2 linked regions of the Oryzias latipes genome follow. The protein of the gene in region 2 interacts with the protein of the main gene of each other region in a pairwise test. Links are inferred from orthologs where the notes say so. Each region holds a gene or a part of one and is shown on either strand. Other genes may lie near its edges.

Region 1 (4,216 bases), on a different chromosome or scaffold from region 2:
TAGCTGAGCTAATAAACATGCTGCATTTGGATCCAGCCGTCTGCCCATTCTTGTGACAGAATACTTTGCCAAACATGGATCCAGCAGGAGCTCCCAGCCCGATGAACCCGGTGGGGTTTGCTTCTTTGTTGCTGGAGCACAGTTGCCACCTCCCTCCAGGAGTAAAGATGCAAGAATTATTTAAAGACTTTTGGATCTGAACTGGACTTTTTCTATAGCTTTAGTATTCTTATGTAATAGGTGACAAATGGATTTATATTTAAAGGGCTGTCTCTTTTAGAGCTCTTTGGTCTTGGTCATGGTGGAGAGGTTGGAGTCTGAATGTTTAGGGGAATAAATAGGTGTATTTTATTCAGATAATAAGTTCAAACAGGTGACATTAATACAGGAAAGAAGAGCCACAGGTCTCTGTGGGACAGAATTCTAGCCTGTTTGTTGGAGCTAAATACTTATTTTCAGCACCATCATACAAATAACTCATTAAAAATCATACTACTTGATTTCTTGGAATATTTTTTGTTTCATTCTTTCTCTCATTGAATGTATGATTAACATTACTGACCTCTTTTATCTTAGTAAGTGGGACAATGGATAGAATTAGAGGCTGATGAATACTTATTGACTTTGTCACCTTTATTAAGGTGTTTATTTTCCAATTACAGCTGCCAGTGTAAGATTTATACAGAGGAATAACACACAGCTGTCGCTGAGTATCAACCTTGAATCATAGATTTCTCAAAGCATTTCTAAAGATGCCAAAATGGCTTCCAGATCTTCTTAAAGTGTACGCCTAAGATAAAACGCAGATGGAGCATGAAACTGGGGAAGTCAGGGAAAACAGAGGATGAAGCGGGGAGGTTGCAGCCAGCAGGAATGCAAAGGTCCTCTGCAGACTGAGGCATGGCAGAGGAGGTGGCCGACAAGTCAAAACCAAAGCAGCCCCTTCGAGGGTGGAGACACAGGCAAGAGATGCGACAACATCAAGGAGGTACTTAAACTAAGCATCATCTAAACATGGAAATTGGTGAGCCTTCAGAGCTGCCTGATTTGTATTTGCTTAGAGAACCAGTGAAACACTACCCGCTCCCTGTTCCTCACAAAAAAGGCTTTACAAGGTTTGCAAGCTTACTCCTGCTCTTAAATCAGAAATGTTCATCTATCCTTTGATAATGGCAGCATATCCCAACTCGGGACAAGTGGAGCACAGCCTAAACAGATGTTTGTATTTATTGTGATTTTTAGAATTTACAAATAATATTGCAAAAGGTAGTTTGTTCTTAAAATTTGGAAGATTTTAACAAAGAAATTATAAAATATTGTTTGTAAAAAGCCAACAAAACACTTCCGTCAGGTTTATACAGAGTGTCAAGACTGAAGACTTAAAACAACTGTTAAGTGACCTGACAGGAATGGCTGAAGGACCAAAAAAAGACTGGAACTATTGTGAGGCTTACACTCAAGGTTATGATGGTGACATCATAGTGGAAATCAGGATTTAAATCCCACCAACAGCTGTGAGAGGCAGGCAAGGCATGCTGGGAATGCAGCACAGGAGGACAGGCCTGGCTGGGACGAACCACATCAACTGCCTCTGTCTGAGTCTGTGCCCCGGGCTCTCACCGCACAACAATGCAAAACCTCTTTTCATGTCATCCTCACACATGGCTCATCCCAAACCCAGAGGATAGGTTTTTTCCAATGGTATACCTCCTGTTTATTATGTTATAAAATGATATAAAACTGATCATTTTTGACCAAAGATGCAGAGATAATATAAAGTGGGTTTATTTAATTGGAAAAAAACAACATTCAGGTATTTTACGGTTCTTTCTCAGTTTAACGATCCTATGTGCAGCAGCTGAGCTTAGTGTTGCATGATTACTCACATCAGCTGCTTTTTTGTCAGCAACTTCCAGCTTCTCCTGAGCGTCCTTCAGGGCCTCAGAGTATTTATCCAGCTCATCCTCCGTCGACTTCAGCTTCTTCTGCATTTGCAGGAGTTCATCTTCATGCTGAAGACAAACCGACAAGGAAAATAAATCATCTACACAGCAGGTAACCTGAAGAAAGTCCTATTTTGATATACTGAGCTGCACTTAATGCATATGAAATTGCCCTATGTTATTACACTCCCTTGTATATTATGTTTAAACAATTCTTCTTACCCTCTAAGAATTTTTTTATTTTGTTTTCAGTTTAAGACCTCTGGTTTTATTCAAAGACACTTTATTATTCCCCAAATTAAGAAGTTGTAGTACATATTTTTTAACTTTATCTTTATTGACAACAGTGACTGAAAACAATTTTTGTTATTTACCCTCAAAGTAGAGGAGGCTTAAATTCTGGAGCTTTTTTTTAACCTTCCAACAACCCCATCAGTAAAAAAAATGTAAATCTTTAGTAATCATTGTCTGGGGTCGGTGATCAGAACAATTTTTAAAATACAATTTTTTTTTTCTATGTGCTTAACTTTTTTGTTGAGCTGGGAGTTAAAATGTTAACAGTGATTGTTGGTTTTTATGGCTTTTTCCAAAAAAAATGTTGTGCTTTTTAGATAATTGTAGGTCTTTTAAATGTATTTACATTATAGATTGCCATGACCCACCTGTTTACTTCTGTCCTCAGCTGCTTTCCTGTCAGCCTCAGCTTGTTCTGCCTGGTCCAGTGCGTTCTCCTTGTCCAACTTCAGCATGAGCATTTTCTTCTTGATGGCTTCCATTTTGGCTGTTGGGTTCCTGAAGCTGACAGGGAAAACAAACAGAGGATTTTGTCTAAAACAGGTTCTAGAGCTTGTCTAAGCTGGTGGAAGAACCAAACTCACTCAAGATATTTTTATATAGCAGACACCTAGCTCCTCCTTCTTTAATCCCACCCTTTGTGACAAAGTGGGTAACGTTACACCCATTTGTCCCAGAACTCTGTCCAACATTTATTAAAAGAGCACGTGTGTTTTGCCATTTTCCATCATAAATCAAGGTTCAAACATTTGTTATTCCTGTTTTGTGTTGTATTTATTCCATCTAGAATATGAGTAATCTTACAGGGTTGTGGAGAATCACACACAACATTCAGCAATCTCCAATTAAAATAATTTTTTTTCTGTCTTCTCGAGATTTCAAGATAAGTTTTAGTTTTATTCTGTTATCCTTAGAAAACTGGTGTTTTCTTCTCATGATAATGAGTCTTTAGGTTATTATCTCGAGAAAAGAGAAAAAAATTGACATGGCTATTCCGGTCTTCTGTAGTAAACATCTGTTAAAGTGAGTTGAGAAATCAAACTTTTTTGGCAAAAATGTTTTTATTACCTACCTTGTAACACCCCTTTCCCCCCTCCCAGACAAAAAGGAACCAGATAAAACCTGAAAAGTTCAAAACCTCATTTTAGTCAAAATCATTTTTCCCTTTCATTTTCTGACAAAAATATTGAGGCAGTTCAGTTGAGATTTCCTCATAATATTCTGTCCCTGACATTCTGTGTTGCCTTTTCATCGGGTGTCAATATTAGAATTGTTATTGCTTTAAACTCCTTCCCTCATTTATGCACTGATTAATAACTGAAAGCTTTATTATAACCGTACAGTTTATGCAAATATTGTTAAGGAGAAAAACCACTCTTGTTTTTAGAGGGGCTCCAATAGTCTATGCCCCCACCACAGCAAAAACCTAATTGTGGTGTTTGAAATGTCTTCCATGAAGCAACAATAACTTCAAATGCAAGACCGCAGCCTTTACTGGTGTGTGTCAATTCAACTGAAACTGAACCTGAAGGGTTTCTTTCTTTTTTATGATCCCTTTAACTCTATTTGAAAATGTGACAGCGTCTTATAGGATGAAAGAAGAAGGAGCTGCAAACAATGCCAAGAGAAACATTAACTGTGTGCTTGAGTGCCAAATGCCCTGGGATAACTATAACGGGATCTCTCCAGGGAATACACAACCGTGAATGTGTCGCTTATTCCTGTCTAAGCCCTGCTGGGTTATTAATAAACATGTTTTGGCTGACATTGTCCTACGGATCAGAACAAAAGAATGTCTGCAGCTTGGCCATGCTGGTGGAGACGACTCTACAGAGAGAAGTGTTTAATGGTTCTGTTAGTTTGACGATAGTTGATGAAATTATGCAAAACATAGGAATATGCTATATTTTGTTTTCTGTAATTAAAGAAAAGTTTTTTTAATAGATGGGGACATTGTTGGATTAGAATTAAGACAACAG
Region 2 (4,154 bases):
TTAGCAGTTCAAAACCCGTCGGCTGAAACCCTCCACGGATGACGAAAGAGACACGTATGAACGACTGAATCATACGAGGAAAATGTGCAATAATGTAGGTCGCGGCTGTGAGACGACCTTCAGGTTAGAAACCTGTAGAAGTCAGAAAACGTGAGAAAAAACTAAATCAGAGCAGATCAGTCTGTTTCAGATTAAAACCTTTTACAGTAAGGCTGAGCCGTCGCTGGTCTGCTGACCCACAATGCACCACAACACTGTTTTGCTGACCCACAATGCTGACCCACAATGCACCACAACACTGTTTTGCTGACCCACAATGCTGACCCACAATGCACCACAACACTGTTTTGCTGACCCACAATGCACCACAACACTGTTTTGCTGACCCACAATGCACCACAACACTGTTTTGCTGACCCACAATGCACCACAACACTGTTCACCTGCTTCCCAAACGGGTTTCAGGCCGTGAAACCTACAACCACCGGCCTAGACGCCATGGACACGTTTGTGGGCGGAGCATCACTAGCCGAGTCAGAAACTGGACCAATCAGATTTCTGTATGAAATCCATGCATACAAATCCATAAACATACTTTATGCTACAGACCCCACAGACAGAAAAGACGCATGGCTGCCCGTGGTCATGGCGCTCCTCATCGGCCCTCTGAGCCGCGTTACCTTGAAGCTGAGGTTGGCGCTGAAGAGCGACGGCACGGCGTTCTCCTTCAGCACGCGGTTGTTGCACTCCCTCTTGAAGCAGTCGCTGGTGAAGTGTTGGGAGCAGATGTTGCTGTACTTTGTTGGTTTGAAGTTGTTCCTCCTCATGGCCGCCACCCACTTCCCGCAAACGTCCGGACGCGCCAACGGGAACCTTGCAGTCCGGGACGACAAACACCACGTTCAGCCCATCGCCGGACACGTTTCTGTGCTTCCGTCTGGTAAACAAATGTTTTAATCTCCAGTAAAGTTCTAAACGTATCTAAAGGTGCAGAGGCTCCCGTCACCGTAAACTCTGCCACAGAGAGCCAACAAGGTCCTGGTAGTGACTTATTCTCCCCCCTCCACGACCATTAACATTAAATTAAATCACACCATCTGTGTGACCTTTTTTGCGCCACATTTGACCCCTCCCCCTGGCGGAGCGGTGAGCTGCAGACCATTTGGTGGTTTAACCCCCCAATCCAACCCCCTAATACTGAGTGTCAAGCAGGGAGGCATTGGGCCCCATTTTTATAGTCTTTGGTATGACTCTGCCTGGGTTTGAACCCACGACCTTCCAGTCTCAGGGTGGACACTGACCACAGGGCCGCTGAGCTGGTTGCATATTCATTTCTCATTCCTGTCAGTCATTTCAGTCTTAAACTGCCATCACCCAATGAGCTGTCAAAGTGTTCCCAGAGGTCTTAACGATGGTTTTTTTTACCATTTTCCTTTTCTAGAACAGTGTCTGCAGAGCGGCAGGAGCTGATCACAAATTCACCTCCGAGTTGTGGGCGGGGCTATTGATGTGGACTAAGCCCGCCCTGATTCCCATCATCCCTTTGCCCCCCACCTAACATTAGCAGAGCAACAAAAATGGCAGCATAACGGAGATATCCAGCCGTCAGCTTTGACTGCAACAGGAAAGTACGGTGGCCCTGAAGTACAAATCACATCAATAAGTCATGTGACGCAAAACCTTTTTAAGATCACAACATACAAACAAATATTAAAAAAAATATACAGAAAACGAAATGAAATGATGTAAAATGAAACAATGAGAACCCGGAAAAGGTCCATAGGACTGAGCTGATTGGACGAAGACGCTTGACCTTCATGTCAGTCAGAAGCTGACATGAAGGTCGTGGATACATCCGTCCCATGATCCTCCAACAAATCCACCTTTCTGGTTTCTCCTTGGGCTTCATTTTCCCAACATTTCTAGGAATAGTTTTAGTTTCTGATTATTTGTTTCGCTTTTTATTGGTCGTTGTGAGTTTTTAAATGCTTCACGTTAAGCTATTTGCACTTCAGGGTCACCGTAGAAAAGATGAACCCATTGAAAGCCTTTCTTTGCCTCTAGTGGGACTCGAATAAACGTGTTTGACCGGTTGAATCCAGTGTAACGGTTTGACACCGTAGGATCACTGCAGGTATCGAACGAAACCGGAGCGGACTACCGTCCTTAAGTCGTTCAGTCCAAACGTCTGTACCGGACAGACCCGGATGAGTGGTGAAGGTTAACCTTTGACCTCCTAAACCTGTTGAAGCATTGCTCAAAGGGTACTCGGTAGTCGGGATTCCAGCAGTCACTCGGTTGACCGAGAACCACCAGCAGCATGTGGACCCGCCGGTACCGGACGGACGGACTCATGACCCAAACTTTCTTTTTTATTTTCCCATCATGCACCGTGGATCGGAGCGCGAGTGAGGGAACGTCTCCGTTAGGTGCGTTTACCGGGAGGTTTTCTTCCCGGAAAACCGGCGCTCCGGCGGCGGAGCGTCCGCCTCTGTGGGAGGGGCTTACTTGTGGAAGGAAATGTCTTTGTCTTTGTGGTACCGGTTCTTGCAGCCGTACGCCGAGCACGTCTGGACCATGGCGGCGGCCCGGACAGCAGCCGAACGCGGACAGAGCGAGGGCTTCGCTGCCACTAACAACTATGGCGGCGGAAGAATCACGTGATCTGTGTTCTGAAACGTGATTGGCTCAGGCTTTCTCTGGGCATGCGCAGAGCGCTGGAGAGCTGCGCTTCCTCCAACGGGCGGGAGTGGAGGAGACGAGTTTGAACCGTCAACAGGCACAGCTGCCATTGATTGACTGATTGATTATGAGAGCATTTCAGGGATACAGAGATCTGTGTCACGTGTACAATAACATTAACGTGTCTTCGTGTCAGTGCAACATTCATACCTTTAAAAAAAAAAAACTTACTAAAATAACAAATAATGGACGAAACGACATAAAACGGGCTTGGATGTAGATATTGAGTAAAATGTCACACAATCCAGCTTTTTGTTCTTTTCCCTTCTCGTTCTTATTAGGAAAATGTAATGAGTTTTATTGAAGCTGCTGTGTTGTCGTGACTCATTCTTTATAATATAAAGTTGTGGGGAAAAAGTGCTTCAATATGTGTTGAAATGGTTGAAAGTAAAGACAATGATCCTAAATATGAAGCAGACGTCCACAGTCTCCTCAGTGACCAGCAGACGTCCAGGTTTCACGGTTTCTGGCGTCTCCAACTGGTTTATGGCGGTTGGAGGGAAATGGTTTTGGGTCTTTCCGTCTCTCTTCACCAGCGGCGTTTGCCTGAAGGCAGCAGGTCAGACGGCGGCGGTCCGGGGCGTGTAGCGTCTCTGATGAGGCTCTCTGCTCTGCTGAGGCAGCGGGAGCTGTGGGGGGGTTTCCAGGGCGGGGAGGGGGCACCCAGCATGTTTTGGGCGGTGTTGGCGAGCCGCCGGAGAGCCTTCCTTCTAGCCGCTTTACGGCGGCCGAACCAGGAGCATCTGCAGTGTTGGTCCACGTTCCGCGGTGGTGAGGTCAAAGGTCACCAGCTGTCTTTGGGTCATGTTTGTCTGAGGGAACGGTCTCTGTTGGGCTTTTCAGCTGCTCACTGGGGTTCATACTCACATTTTCTCTTTGAGTTAAAAAAAGGGAAAGTATAGATCAAGTTGTTTCAGAGACTCACAGAATATTCCTTTTTTTAACTCCTAAAACCTTTTTTAGACATTAATGACCAAAGATTTCTGTCTTGTTTGGTTGATTTGGTCAAAATGATCTGTAGGTGTCCTGGATGAAAGGGGTGGGGGTTGTTGTTCATCCTGTATTTTACTCTAACCCAGCCGTCGGCAGCCCGGGCCGGGCGCCACCGCGGCACGTGGAGGGTTCTTCTCACAATGAGCTTTCTTTCCCTATGAGGTCATAAGGCAAGGGTCCAATCATGCAGTGCCGTTACTGTGACTCCGCCCACCTCTATAAATACTAAGGTTGCGTCCAAATTCCCGCCCTAACCCCTATGTGCAGCACTATTATGTAGAGCCCTGGATTTTAAAAGGAATTTGGACGCCACGTTCACTACTTTTGTTTTTTAACGGCGGATTTGACGTCATCGATTTCACAAAGTAAACATAATTAATGTGAGCGTTTTGGGACGATGATTTATGATCCACTGTCTC

The links.
Region 1: the proteins of thap1 (region 2) and tpm3 interact in binary tests that used the Homo sapiens proteins (3 or more experiments, as listed by UniProt). The two-hybrid records come from large-scale screens. The link is inferred for Oryzias latipes from reciprocal best matches to the Homo sapiens genes THAP1 and TPM3.

Annotation. Positions count from the first base shown.
Region 1 is NC_019869.2:21,739,430-21,743,645, reverse strand, and holds the start of tpm3 (tropomyosin alpha-3 chain), read right to left. Parts: upstream 2,831-4,216; 5' UTR 2,720-2,830; coding exon 2,606-2,719; intron 2,013-2,605; coding exon 1,887-2,012; intron 1-1,886. UniProt on the Homo sapiens protein: Binds to actin filaments in muscle and non-muscle cells. Plays a central role, in association with the troponin complex, in the calcium dependent regulation of vertebrate striated muscle contraction.
Region 2 is NC_019870.2:29,950,297-29,954,450, reverse strand, and holds the start of thap1 (THAP domain-containing protein 1), read right to left. Parts: upstream 2,801-4,154; 5' UTR 2,580-2,800; coding exon 2,509-2,579; exon of another isoform or gene 2,440-2,508; intron 874-2,439; coding exon 681-873; intron 1-680. UniProt on the Homo sapiens protein: DNA-binding transcription regulator that regulates endothelial cell proliferation and G1/S cell-cycle progression.